Oryctolagus cuniculus: one gene and its partners. Each later gene encodes a partner of the first gene's protein in a complex. Links are inferred from orthologs where the notes say so. Each region holds a gene or a part of one and is shown on either strand. Other genes may lie near its edges.

Region 1 (6,471 bases):
AGCTTCAGAAAACTCTCCCTCCTCCATGCCCTCCCCCACGTACCAGTGAACAAAGGCACGCTTGGCATACATCAGGTCAAACTTGTGGTCCAGGCGAGCCCAGGCCTCAGCAATGGCTGTGGTGTTGCTCAGCATGCACACAGCTCGCTGCACCTTGGCCAGGTCTCCACCAGGCACCACCGTGGGAGGCTGGTAGTTAATGCCAACCTTGAAGCCAGTGGGGCACCAATCCACAAACTGGATGGTACGTTTGGTCTTGATGGTAGCAATGGCAGCATTGACATCTTTGGGAACCACGTCGCCACGGTACAGCAGGCAGCAAGCCATGTATTTACCGTGGCGAGGGTCACATTTCACCATCTGGTTGGCCGGCTCAAAGCAGGCATTGGTGATCTCTGCTACAGAAAGCTGCTCGTGGTAGGCTTTCTCAGCAGAGATGACGGGGGCGTATGTGGCCAGAGGGAAGTGGATGCGGGGGTAGGGCACCAGGTTGGTCTGGAATTCTGTTAGATCAACATTCAGGGCTCCGTCAAACCGCAGGGAAGCTGTGATAGAGGATACAATTTGACCTATCAACCTATTCAGGTTAGTGTAGGTGGGGCGCTCGATATCGAGGTTTCTACGACAGATGTCATAGATGGCCTCGTTGTCTACCATGAAGGCACAATCAGAGTGCTCCAGGGTGGTGTGGGTGGTGAGGATGGAGTTGTAGGGCTCCACCACAGCTGTGGAAACCTGGGGGGCTGGGTAGATGGAGAACTCCAGCTTGGACTTCTTGCCGTAATCGACAGAGAGGCGTTCCATCAGCAGGGAGGTGAACCCAGAACCAGTTCCCCCACCAAAGCTGTGGAAAACCAAGAAGCCCTGCAGGCCCGTGCACTGGTCAGCCTGTTTAAAAGAGAGGAATAGAAAAGATTAAGTCTTTGTTGTCTGTGATACAATCATAGTAAATAGTCTCACTTTTCGTACATCTCTAAGAATTTAGATCTTACTTTAACAAATGCTTTTTAAAAAGCGAAGACCTTGGAATTACTCAACATTTCTTCATTTAAAAATTCTCAGTATTTACAAAATGATATCAGATAGTTCATGTTTTAATTGAATTTTTAAAAACCTTTTTTCAATTTCAATTCTGTTTCAACCAAACAGCATCCCTTAACTTACTAATGTACTTTATTGTTGAGAGGAAACATACCAGCTTGCGAATTCGGTCCAGGACGAGGTCAATGATCTCCTTGCCAATGGTGTAGTGCCCGCGGGCATAGTTATTGGCAGCATCTTCCTTGCCTGTGATGAGCTGCTCGGGGTGGAAGAGCTGGCGGTAGGTGCCGGTGCGAACTTCATCTGGAAGAGGGAAGCAGACCAGCCACCTGTCACTGACAGCCTGCAGGGCCCCGGGGTGCCAGTGGCTCCCCCCTCACAGAATTGTCCCAGACCTGTCCCAGCACCCGGGGCTCTCACTGAGGCCACGGAGGCCAACTCACCAATGACCGTAGGCTCCAGGTCTACAAACACGGCCCTGGGCACGTGCTTGCCAGCGCCCGTCTCACTGAAGAAGGTGTTGAAGGAGTCGTCTCCTCCCCCAATGGTCTTGTCACTTGGCATCTGGCCATCGGGCTGGATGCCGTGTTCCAGGCAGTAGAGCTCCCAGCAGGCATTGCCGATCTGGACACCAGCCTGGCCGACGTGGATGGAGATGCACTCACGCTGTGTGAGGGAAAGAGAAAAATATATATAAATTATTTTGTATTAGCATTTTGAATTTTCAGCAAATTTCTAAAAGTATTTCTAGTAATTAGATCTTCCTCAAATTTATTTGCAGTTTTATCCCTAATATGATAGAAACGATGAAAGAAAAGCACCTGCTACAAATACTGCAGATGGGTGTGGTCTGAATAATAATGTCGCCTTGGCACAGTTTAGCACATGGTGCAAGCCCATTGTTCACAGAGCCATGCTTGAATGGAAGATTTTTTTATGGCTTCAAAGCACAGATTTTGTAAAATGAAGTAAATTAAATTCAATCCAATCATGGATTGGAATTCATTTTACTGCTTTTTTCCCCCTTTAACTGGAGATTAGTTTCTTCTGCAGAGGACTTAGGATTCCAAGAGGCATCTGTACTGCAGCTGCAAGCCACACCCTTCTGCAGTCTGCCTGCAGGATCCATCAATACTAGGAGTTATTAGAAGCTAGACAAAAGTCTGCCTCTGCATTGCTGCACTGCCGTTATTTGCTGTGCCTGGCGCTAGCCTGTACTGTCTGCTACATTATTTAACAGAGCAAGCTCTATTTCCAGCAACTGCCTATATGATCTCATTGTGCTGTTTTGCTAGTTCTTCCCCTGACCCAGCCTGGGACCATGCTCCTGAATCGAAATGAATTAATGAAGACACCCTAGAACAAAAGACGGCTGGAGAGCAGAATGTAATTCTTTGTCTGCAGCAATTGTGTTACTTTAAGTTTTTACAGAATCGCCTCCACTGTAAAAAACTGAAAAATTGTTAGTATTTTTGAAACAACAGTTTGCGAGTTAGGAAGAAATGTTATATGAGAAGCTAGCAAAGAACAAAAGCCCAGTGAAAGGACAGTGAAATATGTATTTAAAGCAACAAAAAAGTGTTTTCTTTCTGAAATTCTTTACCCACCACATAAAATTCTTACTCCTCATCCCACAGAGATTGTCACTTTTAGGGCTGCAATTTTCATTGTCTGCTCCCTGGGGCGGGGGCGGGGCAGGCGTTCCCGACCGCAGCCCAGCAGGCACCCAGGGCGGACCCTGCGCCCCCCCACAGCCCGGCCCCGCAGCCCTCAAGGGCGTGGCCACGCTGGACCAGACTTTAAAGGGCTTGTGAATTGGGATTCTGGGCCTCGAGAAAACAATTTTTTTTCATCTGAGCTTTAGCAGGTAATGAAAACCCTTTTGAAGTCTTCAGTTCCGCGGTGATGCAAGGCTTTTATTCAAGGCTTCCCCGTGACCGCGGAGGCTGAGCGAGGGCGAACCCGGTCCGGCGGCTCCAACACCGGGGAAGCCAGAAACAAACAACCCCGCCCCTGCGCCGCCCCGGCCCCAGCCGCTAGTAGACGGCTGTCTCTCTAGAACGCAAGGGTCTTGCGCCAACCCGAGGCTTCCCTCGGTTCCCGTCCTCCTCTCCGCGCCCAGCTACACCCAGCGCCCCCGGGCTGCAGGTCCCCGGGGAGCCCCACGAGCGCGGAGCGCACGCCCCGCCCGGCTGCGGACCCTCCCGCCCCGCCGGAGGGGCAGCTGCGGCCCCGGGGAGTCCTCGGCGACAAACACTCCCTGGCGTCGCCTTTGTTCGTCCCGGCCGGGCCCTGGCTCCGCACTGCGGCAGCGGCAGGGCGTAGGGACCGAAAGCAAACAAAGCCACCCTGGACAAAAAAGGCTACAAAGGGCTCCCCGGGCCGCCTGGGGGGCCGGCGCTTACCATGGTTGCTGCTGCGCGCGGAGGCCGAGAGGGAGGCTGCTGCTTCTTACAGCGCGACTCTTAGGCGGTCGATGTAAGAGAACCTGCGGCTCGGGCGGTGGCGGCCGCCTATATACAGCCCGGTCGCCATGGGGATGGGCCGGGGCCTCTTCCTGTTGGTCCAGACCCCTCTCTCTGCCCGGAGAAGCCGCGGCAGAAGAGTGCTGATTGGTGCAGGCGACATGGGATGAGGTAATCGCTCCCCCACCCGTTTTCCCCCAGTATCCATAGACTGCATCCTTCAGACAAAGAGACCGAGCCAAAGCCGGCAGCCCAGCATCCATTACGGGGTGGGGCTCTCGGGAGGGGCGGAAGGGAAGAAAGAGGACTGCGGCTAGATCATTTTCTATCGCTTCAGTCTCAACCTGCAGCTAAAATCACCTAGGTACGGTTTCAATCGTAGCATTTGTGTTGAGATGGAATCTTCGTGAAGAATCGCCCCCTGACAGTACACTAAGCTACATTTGGTTACGAACCAGCATCTCGAATTGCTTTAAAAATAAAGTGGGAAAGACGGGAGCGATACTCAAAATGGTTTGAGTAAATATGCTTTCCCTTTCTCTCTTATTTTAATTAGAAAAGGACCCGGTAATACAGTCATCCAAAAAAAAAAAAAAAAGGCTCTGCAGGTTCAATTAATGTATTTTCATATCTTCTTTTGGGCACAGACACCCAAATAGCTCAACAAAATGGGTGATGGGAGGCATAGCCATACCGCATAAAAGAACACAAAAGGTTCTAGCATTGCAGTCGGTGAGAGCTAATGGACACATGAGGGTTAGCTGATGAGAGATACTCATTTGCCAAAAGACTCTGTAATATATTTTGTGAGATGTAGAAATGAATCATCGTTCCCAATACAGAATTGGGAAAACACAAGGAGAAAGAATTGACTGCAGAAACCGGTATCCCTTGTGTGTGCAATTATATTTCTGCATTGCTCGCCTTTTGGGAAAGTTACAAACAAAAAAGAGTAACCAAAACACTAAATTAAAAAGAAGACAAGAAAGATGTAGGATGCAAAAAGAGGACCACTTTGTATTGTTGCCTCCATCTGCAGGCAACTCTGCAGTCTCAGTTCAACCGCAGTCCATTTTTATATAGTGCTTATAAGAATGGGGTCCACACCCTCCTAACTGTGGGAACCTTAGCCGGCCTCACACCGCTGCTATTCAGCTGGAGACTGGTGGCTGCCCAGAGGCCTCTTGGGGACAAAAAAGGCTTTGCTTTCCCCCCTAGGAAATGGTTTGCTGCTCGGAACGGCTCCATTCTCATCAAGGATGGGCTATGCAAAATAGGTCTCCGGGCTGTGCACCTCTTGCCATTGTGGATGACATTTCAGAGGTAAAGAGATTTGTTTGACTATCAAAAATAGAAATTTCTGTTTTTCCTTTCAATTTCCAGCAACTGATTTTCGGGGGCTGCATTACTACAGCGCCCTGTGGAGCCCAGTCACTGCTGCGGGCTGGTGGGCAGAGCAGGGCGTGGGCAGCACTGCAGGTTGTGGGATGACAATGGCGGCTGTGGGACTGCGCTAGCCACACCTCTGCTTTGCTTGCACAGATTTGCTGCAGTAAGTTCTCTAGAAAAAAATGAAGCCTAACACACAAGCCATTTTATCTACTGCTTGCATATTTCATTGTAAAAGTAGTCAACATCACCTTGTTGCAATCCTTTTAGCCAATAAAATATATTTCAGTAAAGAGACAGAAGGATTGAGGATGACTTGAATACTTTCTGAACCCAGAAGTGTGTTTAACAAAGATAAAAAGTAAATGGCCTAGAGAGCATAAAGATTAATAGATCATTAAAAATGCTTAAACCATTTTAATAACAAAGGAAATCAAACATTGCTAGACTGTATATAGTAAGTATAGAAATCTTCTTTTTGGAATGAGCAATAGTCTTGAATTTCTATTTTCCTTACAGTAGAAAAAAATAAATTAAGAAAATTTTCATCGCCCCAGTAATTTCAGTCCTTTTTGTGTTTTACAGAGACTTAACTACAAGAGAGGAGGGTTCATGGTATTGATTCTTTGTAACTCTATCTCAGAGCCATTCTGTTCTTTATGTAAATGAAGGTCTTTCTCCCTCCTCTTGGGCAGAAGTAACAATAAGATCTAGGTCAGCAATAGTGTATTTGACAATCTTAAATATATAAGCGGGAGATCAGAGAAAATAACCACTCTGTTCTTTTTGTTTCTTCATTATCTGATTTAAAAGCATTCAAACTATGGAAAGCAAAAAAAAAATTTTTCTTACTAATTTACTTCCTATTTTTACTGCTAATTTTTAAAATATGTATTTGTTTGAAAGGCAGAGTTACAAAGTGAGAGAGGGAGAGACGAGAGATCTTCCATCTGCTGGTTCGGTCCCCAAATGGCCTCAACGGCCCAGGCTCAGCAAGGCTGAAATCAGGAGGACGAGCTTCATCCAGGTCTCCCACATGAGTGATGGGACCCAGGAACCAGATGCTCAATCTGGGTTTCTTACATGGGTGGCAGAGACACACATACATGAGCTATCACCTGCTGCCTCCCAGAATGTACATTAATGAGGCGGCACTGTGGCATGGTGGGTAAAACCACCGCCTACATTGCTGGAATCCCATATGGATATCTTCTCGAGCCCTGACTGCTCCACTTCTGATCCAGCTCCCTGCTAGTGCACTTGGAAAGGCAGCAGAGGATGGCCCAAGTGCTTGGGCCCCTTCACCCACATGGGAAACCTGAATGAAGCTCCTGGATCCTGGCTTCTGCCTGGGCCAACTCCAACTCCAGCCATTGCGACCACTTGGAGAGTGAACCAGCAGGTGGAAGATTCTCTCTCTCTCTCTCTCTCTCTCTCTCTCTCTCTCTCTCTCGCCTTCTCTCTCTATGACTCTGCCTTCAAAAAAGAATGTACATTAGTAAGAAGCTGGATTGGAAGAGGAGCTGGGACTCAAACCCAGGTAGTCTGACATGGGATGGGAGCTTCCCAAGTGGCA
Region 2 (6,591 bases), on another chromosome or scaffold:
CGAGGCCCCACGCCGCACTGCCGAATCCAGGCTTTATTTCTGTGGGGACGCGCACGTCTCTGCAGCCGGGAGCCGGCCAGAGGGTCCCAGGGCTCGCACCGCGTGCGGCGGGGGATTCAGACGGAGAGAAGCCGGGTGGTTTCCTGGAGGCGGCAGCGCCGGCCGCTGGGCTCCCGGGAGACCCGAGCTCGAGCGGCGGCTCGGACGGCGGTCTGTGGGCGCCAGGCCAGCGGGCGGGGTCAGGCTCAGGGCGCTGGCTAGGGCGCAGGCCCGGCTCCCTGGCCCGCGGCGCCCTGCAGGCGGTACAAGGCCTCGACCTGCCGGCGCTTCTCCTTGGCGCGGCTGACGGCGAGCCGGAAGAGGCGGCAGAAGAGCTGCACGGCGGCCGGGGAGTCGTCGTTGCCGGGCACGGGGTAGGTGAGGAGGCACGGGTTGCAGTTGGTGTCCACCACGCCCACCGTGGGGATGTTCATCTTGGCCGCGTCCCTCACGGCCACGTGCGGCTCGAACACGTTGTTGAGCGTGTGCAGGAAGATGAGCAGGTCGGGCAGGCGCACGGCGGGGCCGAACAGGAGGCCGGCGTTGGTCAGCAGGCCGCCCTTGAAGTAGCGCGTGTGCGCGTACTCGCCGCAGGCGCGCGCCGTGCTCTCCACCAGGTGCGAGAACTGCCGGCTGCGGCTCACGAACAGGATGACGCCCCCGCGGTAGGCCATGTGCGCCGTGAAGTTGAGGGCCAGCTGCAGGTGCGCGGCCGTCTGCTCCAGGTCGATGATGTCCTGGTTCAGCCGGCTCCCGAAGATGTAGGGTTCCATGAACCTGCGGCGGGCGGAGGCTCAGCCGGCGGGCCCCGCCCCACCCCCGCCCCCGGCACGCCCCCGACTCGGCCCGGCCCCGCCACGCCCCCTCGTAAACGCGGGAGACCTTCCAGCTGGCCCCGCCCTGACTCGGCCCGGCCCCGCCCCCGCCACGCCCCCTCGTAAACGCGGGAGACCTTCCAGCTGGCCCCGCCCCGACTCGGCCCGGCCCCGCCCCCGCCACGCCCCCTCATCAACGCGGGATACCTTCCACCTGGGCCCCCCCTCGGCCCGGCCCCGCCCCGACTCGGCGCGGCCCCGCCCCCTCGTAAACGCGGGAGACCTTCCAGCTGGCCCCCCCCCTCAGCCCGGCGGGCCCCGCCCCCGGCACGCCCCCGACTCGGCCCGGCCCCGCCCCCTCATCTAAACGCCCGAGGCCTTCCAGGTCTGGCCACGCCTCCCAGGAGCCCGAATCCTGTCCGGGTCTCCCACTCGGGCGCCTGCCTCCCGTGTCCCAGTGGGGGCTTCACCTGCCCCCCCCCCCCGCCCCGGCCGCCACTTCCGTCCCCCCCGCTCATCTCCAGATGCCCTGGACAAGGCTCGTCCAGGGGTGGGGCTGAGGCGTGTCCACGCCCCCCTCCCTGCGCACTGCTCAGCAAACCCCACCGCGCCCCTCCCCCGCGCCTCCTGGGCTCGACCCGGCCACCCCCTCCCCGGTGGGCTGCTGGGACCCCACCTCCACCCCGCTCGCGGCTGCCCCACGCTTCCCCTCACCCTCCACCGTCCTGCCTGGAGCCCCGCCCCCAGCCGGCGCCCAGCGGGGGCCCCGCGCCCACCCACCTGTGCCGACAGCCGGCTTTGTGGCCCAGGTGCACGCGGGCCTCGAACAGGCTCCTCACGGAGAAGAGCTCCCGCACGTTGAAGAAGTCGGCGTGCTTGAGCGGCTCCCGGAGGACCTGCTCGCGGACGTCCGGGGCCAGGCCACCGACACCTGCGCACGCAGACCCCGGACTCGCCCACGCGCGCCTCCGGCACCGCCACCCCGCGCCCCGGGGTCTCCGGCCGCAGGCGGGGAAGCTGCGGGGGCCCACCCCGGAGGTCCGAGTCCTGGACTCCGAGGTCCGTCACTGGGGCCCCCCCCCCCCGGACCAAGCCCCTCCCCGCCCGCGACCCCCAGAGGCCGCGGGCGCCCCGGGGTGGGGGTCCCGCTGGGCGGAGGTGCCCGAGGCCCCCGCCCCGCCCGCGCCCCGGGCCGTTACCGCAGTGGTCCTCGCACTCGCTGACGGCCGGGGCCGGGCCGCTGCCCAGCGTCCTGCAGCCGGGCCGGACGGGGCCGCGCGCCACCGTCGCGCAGAGCTGGGGCCGGCGCCAGGCACCTGCGGGAGCAAGCACGCGTGACTGCGGGGCCGCTCGCCCCCCGCCCACCCGGCCCGCCCCGGCCCCGGCCCCGGCCCGCCCCGGCCCCGGCCCCGGCCCCAGCCCCGGCCCTCACCCGCGCACAGCAGGCGCGACAGCGTGGCCGCGGCGGGCGCCATGACGGCCGGACGCGGAGACTGCGCTGCCCCCGGCGGGCAGAGCGGCCGCTGCGCGCGCGGCGACAGCGCCCCCTGCAGGCCCGGAGGAGCCGCGGCGCCAAGTGCGCGGGTGCCGGACGGAGCGCAGACTCGGGCCGGGGCGGGGGCTGAGCCGCGCGGACGCGCGCAGTCCGCAGCCGGGGCGCGCACCCCTCGGGCGCCTTGCGGAGGAAGTCCCGGGACCCCTCCCCCCGCGCGTGCGCGCTGCCCCTCTACGGGCGCGTGGCCGGCCGTCGCTTAGCTACGGGACGCGCCCCGGGGACCCCGGCCAGTTCCCGCGGAGCAGCCATGTCCCAGGAGGAGCCCCCCGCGTGCGTGGGCGAAGCCGAGCCCCGGGCCCCCGCGGCCCCCGAGAAGACCAGCGACTACTACTGCGTGAGCGAGTGCCTGCCGCGGAGGTTCAACCACCCGGGGTGGTTCCGTGGCTACAGGTGAGGGGCGGGGGCGCCAGGGGCCGGTGGGCACGGAGCCCGCCCGAGGTCAGGGTCCCTGCGCACACCGAGCTCCGGCTCCTGCGCTGCCCATGTAGCTCCCCGCGGGTGCGCGCCCCAGGGGGAGCTCCTGGCTCCTGGCTGTGGCCTGGCCCAGCCCGGCCGCGCGGGTTTGGGGAGTGACCCAGCGGATGGAAGCTGTCCCTCTCCCTCTCTCTGCTTTCGAATAAAATGAAAGCGTTAAGAGAAAACCGACACGCAGTCCGGCTCCCCAGCCCCTGGGTCATGGTGCGCTGGGGGAGGCCCAGCAGGGCCCAGCACTGAGAAGTGACCGGAAGCCCCTGCGTGTGGACGCCGGCCAGTGCCCCTCCTGGAGTGTGTGTCCCCAGCTCGCGCTGGCCGGCGGCGGCGGTGGTGGTGGGTGTCCCAGCGGCCACAGGCTGTCCCAGGGGCTGGCGGCATGGGGCCTGGAGGCTGAGCGCCGGCCCCAGTCCTTGCCGGGGGAGGGCGGGAGGCCGGCCGGGGCGGTCAGCCTCGCGGAAGACGGGCGGACAGCGAGCGTGTGTCACCCCCAGGAGCGCGCAGGCGGCCTCCATGTACAGGACCAGCAACCAGGTGTACGGGAGCAGAGCGCCCACGGTGCACGAGATGCCTGTAAGGGGCCGGGCGGGTCGGGGGTGGGGCCCTGGGGTCCCCCCGGGAGGGCAGGGCAGGGAGGAGCAGGTGGGCGCCAGCCCAAGGGAGTGGCGCACGCCTGCCGCGGGGCCCACGCGGTCAGCTGAGCGCCCGTGGGCTGGAGGCCGCCGTCTGTCTAGAACCCCACTTTGCTTCCTGAGCTGTGGGCTGGGACCCCAGGAAAGGAGCCCCGCTCCCCCGTGTGCAGGGACACATCCTCCCGAGGCGGGAGCCCACAGGTGCGTGGGCGGGCACGGGGCCCAGCCCCTCCCCCAGTCTGACCTGCCTCCCTGGGTGCCCCGCCCACACCCCCACGAGGACCCCTGGTGTGTAGTGGGGATGCGGCCCCGCCCCAGTCACACGTGGGATCTGGGGGCCGTATGTGGGGCTTGCCTGAGGAGGCCCTAGCTTCTCCGGGAACTCTCTGGAGCCTGTTGGAGGCGCGGGCCCAGCGCCAGGCAGCCGCGGCTTTTCCCGGGGAGCAGGTGCACAGTGCGGGGTCAGAGCCGGGTCTGCTCTGGCCGAGCCAGGCACGGAGCAGGTGCGCGGCGCGGGGTGGGAGGAGCCCGGTGTGGAGCAGGTGCACGGCGCGGGGTGGGAAGAGCCGGGAGCGCGGGGTGGGAGGAGCCCGGTGTGGAGCAGGTGCGCGGCGCGGGGTGGGAGGAGCCGGGAGCGCGGGGTGGGAGGAGCCCGGCGTGGAGCAGGTGCGCAGTGCGGGGTGGGAGGAGCCGGGAGCGCGGGGTGGGAGGAGCCCGGTGAGGAGCAGGTGCACAGTGCGGGGTGGGAGGAGCCCGGTGTGGAGCAGGTGCGCGGGGCGGGGTGGGAGGAGCCCGGTGAGGAGCAGGTGCGCAGCGCGGGGTGGGAGGAGCCCGGTGAGGAGCAGGTGCACAGTGCGGGGTGGGAGGAGCCGGGAGCGCGGGGTGGGAGGAGCCCGGTGTGGAGCAGGTGCGCGGGGCGGGGTGGGAGGAGCCGGGTCTGCTCTCGCCCAGCCCGGCGCAGAGCAAGTGCACAGTGCGGGGTCAGAGCCAGGACTGCTCTCGCCGAGCCGGCCCTGCGCTCCTGGGCCCGGTGTGGAGCTGTTGGCCTCACCTCGCGTGGGGTTCGCGGGCGGCTTTGTGTTTGGCGGTGGTTCTGCTGCTCTGCCCCCGGGGGTGCCTGTTGGGGTGCACTTGCCAGAGCCCACAGGATCCGGCAGGGAGAGCCCGCGGGGCGCCTGTGACCTCAGTCTGATGAAGGGTCAGCCACACAGGACGCACGGTGCTGACGACGGGGCAGCTCTGTGTGTGTCTGTATGTGTGCCTCTGTGTCTCTGATGTGGGTGTGCCTGTGTGTGAGCCTGTGCGTGTGTGTGGGTGTGCCTATGTGTGTGTCTGTGTGTATTTGTGTATGTTTCTGTATCTGAGTGTGCCTGTGTGTCTGTGTGGCTCTGTTTCTGTGTGTCTCTGTGTTCGTGTGTGTAGGTGTGTATTTGTGTGTGTCTCTGTATCTGGGTGTGCCTGTGCCTGTGTGTGTGTCTCTGTATGTCTGTGTGTCTCTCTGTGTATGTCTCTGTGTGCCTGTGTGTGTGTCTGTCTGTTTGTGTGTGTCTCTGTATCTGGGTGTGCCTGTGTCTCTGTATCTGGGTGAGCCTGTGTCTGTGTGTGTTGTGTGTATCTATGTGTCCATGCGTGTGTGTCTGTGAGTCTGTGTCTCTGTGTGTGTGTGTGTCTGTGTGTGTCTCTGTATCTGGGTGTGCCTGTGTGTGTATCTATGTCTGTGTGTGTCTCTGTGTGCCTGTGTGTGTGTCTGTGTGTCTGTATGTGTCTCTGTATGTCTCTCTGTGTGTGTGTATTTGTGTGTGTCTCTGTATCTGGGTGTGCCTGTGTCTGCCTGGGTGTGTGTCTCTGTATGTCTGTGTGTGTCTCTGTGTGCCTGGGTGTGTGTCTGTGAGTCTGTGTGTGTCTCTGTATGTCTCTGTGTGTGTGTGTCTCTGTATGTCTCTGTGTGTCTGTGTCTGTGTGTGTCTCTGTATCTGGGTGTGCCTGTGTCTGTGTCTCTGCCTGGGTGTGTCTCTGTGTCTCTGTGTGTGTGTGTCTCTGTAACTGGGTGTGCCTGTCTGTGTCTCTGCCTGGGTGTGTGTCTGTGTGTGTCTCTGCCTGTGTGTCTGTGTCTGTGTGTGTCTCTGTATCTGGGTGTGCCTGTGTCTGTGTCTGCCTGGGTGTGTGTGTGTGTGTCTCTGCCTGTGTGTGTCTCTGTGTCTCTGTGTGTGTGTGTGTGTCTCTGTAACTGGGTGTGCCTGTCTGTGTCTGCCTGGGTGTGTGTCTGTGTGTGTCTCTGCCTGTGTGTGTCTCTGTGTCTCTGTGTGTGTGTGTGTGTCTCTGTAATTGGTGTGCCTGTCTGTGTCTGCCTGGGTGTGTGTCTGTGTGTGTCTCTGTATGTCTCTGTGTGTGTGTGTCTCTGTATGTCTGTGTGTGTCTCTGTATCTGGGCGTGTGTCTGTGGGTGAACTTCCTGCCCGAGGTTTCTGTAATCTAGGACCTCTCTGGAGTGAAATCCGAGCGCTGCCGGACGCCGTGTCCCCGGCACCTGCTCCCCACAGGAGCTGCGCCCGCCAGCGAGGGGCGAGGGGCCGGGCTCCGCCTGTCGGGGAGGCGCAGGCCGCCCCCTGCCGCTGGGCGCGGGAACCTCGTTGCAGCTCCTCGGCTTGGCCTGCGCAGTCGCGGGCCCGGCAGCTCCTCGGCTTGGCCTGCGCAGTCGCGGGCCTCGCCGCCCCACACCGGGCCCCTCTGCCTTGCAGAAAGTCTTCTATCCGTATTCCAGCAAGTTTTCCCGGGAGTTCGCGGTGGGCGGGATGTTCCAGAGCAGCGCTTTCAACGTGGGCCTGGAGAAGAGCCTGGTGACCGGGCCCGGCAGCCACGTGACCGCCTGTGACCGCCGCGACTTCCACCCCAGCTACAACGCCAGCCGGCCGTCCATCTGCGACTGAGGCCGGCCGGCCGGCACCCGCTGCTTCTCCCCTGAAGGGTCTTTGGTCCCCGGGATGGAGGGGTGTCCAGATGGGGCCGGGACGCCCTGCGCCGGCCGGCCGGCGCCGAGACATGCGGGCACGGTGCTCGGATAGTTTGCGTAGGCATTAAAC
Region 3 (6,648 bases), on another chromosome or scaffold:
ACTTTTGTCCTTGAACGCCCCAGTATGGTGGTTGTACAGGGCTGCTAAGCGGAAGTCCAGGTCATCCTTTGGTGTCTACAGGGAAAGTCAATCCCCCAGGGTTAACTTGGCCCCCTGTGCCTTCACTCTCATCAGGTGCTGTTGGCTCTACTCGTCCCCAAAGGAAAGTGAAGCCCCTCTGTTGGGACTGAACACCAATTTTGTTACATGCAAATTGTAACCATGACTTCTGAACTCTTGTCAGTATGGAACTGTCTCCATTACAGTCAGGTCTAAAGAGTGGTGACTCACTGGGGACATGGAAATATCCTTGATTTGGCCTTGAACTTGACCTCATTCATGCTTACATTCATGAAAAACATGGGAAAGTCTATTAAAATTATTTGCTCCTGGTAATGGAGCAAAATCCAAGCTTTCTGACCTAGAGGCCAGATAAATTAGTTTGGTTTTGGATTTGGCAGGATCTTGGGTTGGGGACAAAAGGAGAGATACAGACATAGTCAAGACAGACTTCCTTTCAAAAAGAATACTAATGAGTCCTAAAGTGGGTGTCAAGAGAAAAGTATTTCAGTGCTAGGTACCTTGGGGTCAAAAAAATAGGCATCACGCCTCATGGAGGTAATTGTGGGAGTGGAGTTGAGCCGACTCCAGGGTTCTTGTTGCTGAGCCAGATGAGTTGGATTCTTGTATGGCAGTTTCTGCAAAAGAGAAACCCCCTTCAGGACCCGGTCACAGGGGACCTGGCTGATGCGGTAGCCTCAGTGACATCATTTCGTTATTCCATTCTGTTTCAATCGACTCGCAGAGGAAAGTCTGTGAAGAGAATGATGTGAGGCAGGATCTCCCAGGCTTTTGATCGTCTTACGTTTTCTTAGAACTGATAGAAGGGGTTGGTGTTGTGGTATAGTGGGTTAAGTTGCCGCCTGCCACACCAACACTGCCATCCCATGTGAGTGCTGGTTTGAGTCCCCACTGCTCTGCTTCTGATCCAGCTCTTTGCTAATGCACCTGGGAAAGCAGCAGAAGATGGCCTAAGTGCTTGGGCCCTTTCCACCCACATGGGAGACACGGATAGCCTGGCCCAAAGATAGAAGATATTCTCTCTCTCTCTCTCTCTTTCTCTGCCTCTCTGTAACTCCAACTTTCAAATACATAAATAAATATTAAATAAAAAGAGACATGGTCCAGGAATACAGGGAAAGGAGTGGAGTGGAAGAGTTGGGAGAAGGTTGGGGAGCAGATAGGAAAGCTGATGCGCTCAGGTTAAATGTCCTGAGTGTGAAGGACAAATGAGACTTCAAATGCAATTAACAGGCAGAAAAGTGGAGGCCAGGGGCCGGCGCTGTGGTGTATCAGGTGAAGCTTCTGCCTGCAGTGCTGGCATCCCATATGGGCACTGGTTCGAGTTCCAGCTGCTCCACTTCTGATCTGGCTCTCTGCTATGGCCTAGGAAAGCAGTGGAGGATGGCCCACATCCTTCAGCTTCCAGGCATGACAGGACATCTTCAACCCACTGTCATCTACTCTTAACTGTCACTTAAATGTTTCACGGGCTCTGCAAAAACAGCATCCACACAATTGATCTCAACGTATTTCTCCCCAAACCTGCATCCCTGAGGTGTCCCAATTCAGTGAGTGGGGTCAGTTAAGCCCTCAGAGGCCTAGGAGTTAATGCTGGACTAGTTTCTTGGGCCCATATCCGTCAGTCACCACATCCCATCAGGCCTCCTCTTGGCCTTGTTCTCACATCTGCATATTAATCACCAATCCCTGTGTTGCTGCTCTAGATTCATTATCCTTCCTCTTGGAGCTCGCTGCACCTGCCTTCTCACTCATCTCTTTTGTTCCACTCCCATTCTGTCCCATCTACTGCCATTTGATTCTGTCACTCACTCCAGGATGAAAATCTAGCTCACTAGTGTGCACACAGCCCACCGAGGCCACTTCTCCAGCCCTGATGTCTCCACACTTCCATTTCACACCCAGACTTCAACCCTTCAGGACTATGTGTAGTTCTCCAAAGAGACCACACACACACATACATTTTTCCTTGAATGCACCTGCTGATTCCTTTGCCTTGACTGTCTGGTTCCTACTTCCTTCTTCTAACTCACATTCCACCCCTCTCTCACCTGGCCCAGCTAACACGCTTGTCAAAACTCACCTGCTTTAGAAAGCTTTCCTTTTCCTCACTGCCCCCAGGTGCTATATTGTGCAAACACTCTTGCTGTTGTCTTTTCTATTTGACTTCTTTGAGAGTAGCAGCTATATCTACTTTAGGTATCATCAGTGTTCAGCAGACTGCCCAGAATGTAATAAATAATAAATGCTTAATAAATAAAATGATCTTTGACATTGTCAAGCTATAGTCACTGATTAAGTCAACTTATTTTGCAACACTTGGAATATTTCAAACACTTATAGCAGAAAAAAAAAAAAAAAAGATGGTTCACCCAAATCACTGATCACAGTCGCACTCAAACACATTCTGGCATTAACCAAAAGACAGAGGGCATGAAGACGTGACCTGGTGGCTTTCACAAGATTCCCTCCCACTCCGTGTCTCCTTTATCTTTGGAGGACAGTTTCCAAACGGAGGGAGTGGCTCAATGGAACCTAGCGCCTCCTATCACTCACACTAATCAATACTTTGAGCTTTATCTCCCTCTGCTCAAAAGCACCTGTGAACATTTAACCAACTTGAAGATGGGGACTAGGGCGCGGGGGCAGGCCGAAAAGAGACTTCTCTGGTCCTGGGCTCAGTGTCCTCACCAGAGTTCTTTCCATTACCATCTCCGCCAGTCGCACTATCAGAAACGGGGCGGCTTGGCCAGGTTGATGGGAGCTGCAAGAGAAACCATCGTACCTTGGAAGCCTGCTGTTTTCCCAGGTAGGAATCGTCGTTATCTGGCATAGGGTGCTGGAAAGGGTCTCGAGTGGGAGGCATGGTTAATTGCCGAGCGAGATGGAACAGGAGGCCAAGGTGGCCGGGGCACAGCCTTGCCTGCGGAGGCTCCGGGATGTCAATTGTTTGGAACACCTTGTTCCGGTTGCCAGGCGACTGCCCGCTATCTATGACTGAGCCGAATTCCCTTCGAGAAGGGCACCCCCTGGCGGTTCAACTCGGGATGCCCCTCGGGAGGAAGCAGGCAGGGATGCGGCGGGAAATGGGCGTTGCGCGCGCCAGGAAGCCCTGAACGTGCTCTTCTGAGCCCCAGTTGAAGAAACGCCAGCCTCTCACCCTCCAGGATTTCTGCAAAAGTCTGCAGTCGAGGAGAGAAGTCCTAAAAGAAAAAAATGACCCGTACGTTTCCTTTTTTCTCGCACCTAACAAAAGTCTTCCCTATATTCAAGGGAAGGAGCCAGTGAGGATGTCAAAACACGTGTAGCGTTCGGAGGTACTGCCGGCTAGGGCGAATTCTCCTTGCTTAAGCTCGGCTTAACGACACGAATCCCAGGGCTTCTCACAGAGCCGCCTGTAAGAGCACGGATGGACTTGGCGGGATGCAGGTGGTACGTACCGGGGCCACACCGGTGGGCGATGGTGTCTGTGGGCCAGAGACGGTATCTCGGGCTTTTTCCTACGGGCCCACACTCCACCTTTGCAAAATCAGAGGGGGCTCACCATAGTCCCTGTCCGGCGGATTGGCTGGGCATGGCCTGGAGAAATGTCCGGTCGCGGTTTTCGCGCGGCCCTGGGCCGGCCTCTGGGGCAGATTGCACGTCCCGGGCGCGCGCACTGTGTGGCTCCGCGCGCGCCAGCGGCGGCGGCTGCCATGGCGACCGGCAGGTGAGCGGCTGAGGCGCTCGTGGTCCCCGCCCCACCCGCGCCCAGTGAACGAGGATGCGGTTGTCAAGGCGACGTGGGTAGGAGGAGAGGAGTCGGAGGGAGGAGGAAGGATGGGCGGCCTTGGCGCCACAGGGAGGTGACTGGAGTGAGCCCGGCCCCTTGCATCCTCCCCCTGTGAACCTCCCTCTTTTTTTTTTTTCCCCTTGCCTTCTGCCAGCAGAAACAGCAGCCGCACCACCTGAGCCGCTACAGCCGCTCTCTCAGGACTACGCTATGGCTGAGCCCGGGCACCGCCGCTGTCTCTCCGCCCGGGGCAGGGGGAAGGTTGAGAGGCGCGCACTCCGGCTTCTGCGGCTGCTGCTCTGGGCTGGGACCGCCTTCCAGGTGACCCAGGGAACCGGACCGGAGCTTCACGCCTGCAAAGAGGTACTGTCCACCTGCCGACGCGACCCTGCGACCAGCCGGAGACCTTGGGGGAGCCAGTCGCGCCCAGCTCTAGAGGCCGTGGAGTTTAGGTGTCTTTGGGGCTGAGGCGTCGAGGGGAGGGAAGAGCAGCGGCCCGGCATCAGGGCCGGGACTCACGAAATAGATGATCCTCGTGGCGTGGGCTGCTGAGCCCAGCGAGAACCGGCCCAGCCCCGGGGAGAGGCGAGAGCTGGGTCTCCGGACTCGGAACTAGAGAGGAAGAAGACTGTGAGTTGTGTTCTGGTTGGGGGCGAAATCTCCTTAAAAGTGGTTAAAAAGCAAAAGATTATATAAAGAGAGGCAAACGAGAAAGAGGGAAGGGAAGGGAAGGGGAGGGGATGGGGGACAATGAGATCAGAAAGAAGTAAAGAAGGTCCAGAAAAAGTAGTGGACTGATGTCGGAACGCTTGTGCTCTCATGATGACTTCAGTCGGCGGTGTGTGAGGGTGCGAGAGCGGCTGTAGGAGCCCATTAAGTCTCTCTTTCCTCGGTTTAAACGTCCAGTTACCTTGCAGGCTACAAGTGTGGATCCCGTTTATTGCTTGATACCCCTCAGTACACTCTGTCCAGATGTTGAGGTCCCAACGATCTAATTCTCTCCCAGGCTTTACTCTCCTTCTCTGGACTTCTGCTAACATATGCACTGAGTCTTTTTCAACGTGTTTAAAAATGTTGGCAACATCATTCAGGCACTAGGTAGTGTGTGTCTTCCAACCAAATATGCCTTATGAAAATTCGTTTTGGAGAGACACAAAAAGGTATGGAGAGGAACAAAACCAAGTAGTTTTCATATCATTGAGATATCAGTATATGGTCGTGCACTGAACAACTTTTTTTAAACCATATGGCAGCAACAGCAATAATATATTTATACGAACTACGTTGAAGAAGGCAAAATAAAAGTTCTATTATCTCTGTAAGATTAAAAGCCTTCAGTTTGTCAAGAGTCAAGCACCGTGAAGATAATCCCAAGTGTCAGACTTGGCTAAAGTGTTGAGAGGTTATAATGGTTTTTATAAGCCATGTGTTAACTGGTTAGCAATGGCAACCCCATCCCATATGGAGATGTATTATTATCAATATATGCGAAGCAGTAAACTGTCTACAACATAACAGATCATGGCAAAAGGGGGGAGGGGGCCTGTAAATAAAGATCTTTCACTTCAAAGATTCCTAAATATGACATAAATTACCCCAGTCAGTGAAACTTTTGCTCAGTGTGGTTAGTCCTTACGCTGACCTGCCCTGGGCTGTCTTTGCTCTCACCCAGCCACTTTATGGCATGTTTTAAGGATGATTGGGAACAGAATAATTTTGTCCATGTGCCCGCGACACAGTGCTTTGGTAGCCTGTGGTTTAACCAGTGAAAATAATGAGTTCGTGCAAGTCCACCTCCCTAAGAATCAAACATGGGTTCTCCTGAGTGGATCTAAGACTCTCAAACAGCAACTACCACTTCTCGTTGAGATCTTTGTCCGCTATTGGAAACATAACACATTTAAGGAATTAAACCCTTCAAGGGAGGGAAGAAGATTGGTACTTGAGGACTCACATTTTGCTTTTTAGTGCTATTTCCATGACTAATATTTGCTTGACAAAAAGTCTTCCATGAACTCTGAGCTTCGAGCTGTGGGAAGCTGTGGCACTTGACATAATGAGGGTTCTAGTCCTATAGGGACGCTACCATTTCTGGATCAGGATTACAGTAACAGTCACTTCAGAAATGATTCTTTGAGGACTGGGAGGGAAAATGCACACAGCACATGCCATGGAGTTCCTAACCCCTTCCCTACTCAGCTTCTTTCCCATTAGATCCACATCCCACACCAGGTTGCAAGTGGCTGAGAGGCGGGCTTACTGGCCATGGGCGTCAGCAAGTCCTGTTGACTCTCTCCTTGAGCAAACAGTGGCCGCTGAGCACCCTGCCTCCAGAACAATAAGGAAGAGAATAAGCCCTTTATTCTAACATTCTCCATATGGCAATATGAACCGATCAAACAAGTTTGGGGGCTTCCAACTCTAAATGGTGAAAAATCAATCTGAGGTAGATTAGTCCTCCTTGGGCTTAATCTTCATATGAATTTCTTGTGCACCTATGTTGGGTGTGAGTGTCAGGATCTATGGACAACAATGCGGTTGCAGCCTTTGTGTGTGTGTGTGTGTGTGTGTGATCCCTCTGGGTGTAATCAGAAAACAGAGGTTTAGCCTGAGGCCTAAGTCAAGGTGACAGAGAACTCAGAGTTGTAGGCTACTGGACTCATGCCGGGGCTTGGTGTTCCTTTCATGGTTTTAGAATAATCAGGGTCACCAGTGGAACTAAACATCCAGTACACTGTTTGTCTTCATGAATCATTTCTTAAGCCCTGTGCTAGCCCAGGCTGAGTGCCGACTGA

What was found.
Region 2: the proteins of tubulin alpha-1A chain (region 1) and PIERCE1 are in contact, whole or in part, in a cryo-EM structure (PDB 7UNG), measured with the Homo sapiens proteins. The link is inferred for Oryctolagus cuniculus from reciprocal best matches to the Homo sapiens genes TUBA1A and PIERCE1. Residues at the interface, in NP_001257328.1 of Homo sapiens: Met1, Arg2, Gln15, Asn18, Ala19, Glu22, Cys25, Leu26, Glu27, His28, Gly29, Ile30, Gln31, Pro32, Asp33, Met36, Pro37, Asp39, Lys40, Asp46, Asp47, Ser48, Asn50, Glu77, Gly81, Thr82, Tyr83, Tyr224, Thr225, Asn228; in NP_001041730.1 of Homo sapiens: Tyr28, Pro35, Gly36, Arg37, Phe38, Trp43, Phe44, Arg45, Gly46, Tyr47, Arg48, Thr58, Ser59, Asn60, Gln61, Ala62, Tyr63, Gly64, Arg66, His71, Glu72, Pro74, Phe77, Tyr78, Pro79, Asn80, Ser81, Asn82, Lys83.
Region 3: the proteins of tubulin alpha-1A chain (region 1) and CFAP276 are in contact, whole or in part, in a cryo-EM structure (PDB 7UNG), measured with the Homo sapiens proteins. The link is inferred for Oryctolagus cuniculus from reciprocal best matches to the Homo sapiens genes TUBA1A and CFAP276. Residues at the interface, in NP_001257328.1 of Homo sapiens: Lys112, Glu113, Ile115, Asp116, Leu117, Leu119, Asp120, Arg123, Lys124, Asp127, Arg156, Ser158, Val159, Asp160, Gly162, Lys163, Leu195, Glu196, His197, Ser198, Asp199, Tyr262, Pro263, Arg264, Trp346, Lys430, Asp431, Glu434, Val435, Val437; in NP_001231954.1 of Homo sapiens: Pro43, Trp44, Arg46, Leu47, Asn48, Thr50, Pro51, Thr52, Ile53, Thr54, Ser55, Arg57, Arg58, Ala60, Tyr62, Asp64, Ile67, Pro68, Lys69, Asp70, Asp71, Phe74, Arg75, Lys90, Ser91, Leu94, Leu95, Asn96, Lys98, Thr99.

The regions. Positions count from the first base shown.
Region 1 is NC_091442.1:52,628,159-52,634,629, forward strand, and holds the start of tubulin alpha-1A chain, read right to left. Parts: upstream 3,677-6,471; 5' UTR 3,450-3,676; coding exon 3,447-3,449; intron 2,909-3,446; exon of another isoform or gene 2,802-2,908; intron 1,708-2,801; coding exon 1,485-1,707; intron 1,345-1,484; coding exon 1,196-1,344; intron 889-1,195; coding exon 1-888. UniProt on the Homo sapiens protein: Tubulin is the major constituent of microtubules, a cylinder consisting of laterally associated linear protofilaments composed of alpha- and beta-tubulin heterodimers.
Region 2 is NC_091432.1:236,425,020-236,431,610, reverse strand, and holds the start of PIERCE1 (piercer of microtubule wall 1 protein), read left to right. Parts: upstream 1-2,502; 5' UTR 2,503-2,656; coding exon 2,657-2,799; intron 2,800-3,374; coding exon 3,375-3,453; intron 3,454-6,249; coding exon 6,250-6,438; 3' UTR 6,439-6,591. Other genes in the region: MRPS2 (small ribosomal subunit protein uS2m), read right to left, coding at 258-816, 1,635-1,785, 2,054-2,170, 2,287-2,329. UniProt on the Homo sapiens protein: Microtubule inner protein involved in the attachment of outer dynein arms (ODAs) to dynein-decorated doublet microtubules (DMTs) in cilia axoneme, which is required for motile cilia beating.
Region 3 is NC_091438.1:61,319,750-61,326,397, reverse strand, and holds the start of CFAP276 (cilia- and flagella-associated protein 276), read right to left. Parts: upstream 3,794-6,648; 5' UTR 3,779-3,793; coding exon 3,626-3,778; intron 3,514-3,625; exon of another isoform or gene 3,324-3,513; intron 3,305-3,323; coding exon of another isoform or gene 3,298-3,304; exon of another isoform or gene 3,157-3,297; intron 3,001-3,156; exon of another isoform or gene 2,948-3,000; coding exon of another isoform or gene 2,867-2,947; exon of another isoform or gene 2,750-2,866; intron 699-2,749; coding exon 582-698; intron 76-581; coding exon 1-75. Other genes in the region: ELAPOR1 (endosome/lysosome-associated apoptosis and autophagy regulator 1), read left to right, coding at 3,298-3,304, 4,011-4,216. UniProt on the Homo sapiens protein: Microtubule inner protein (MIP) part of the dynein-decorated doublet microtubules (DMTs) in cilia axoneme, which is required for motile cilia beating. May play an important role for the maintenance of myelin-axon integrity.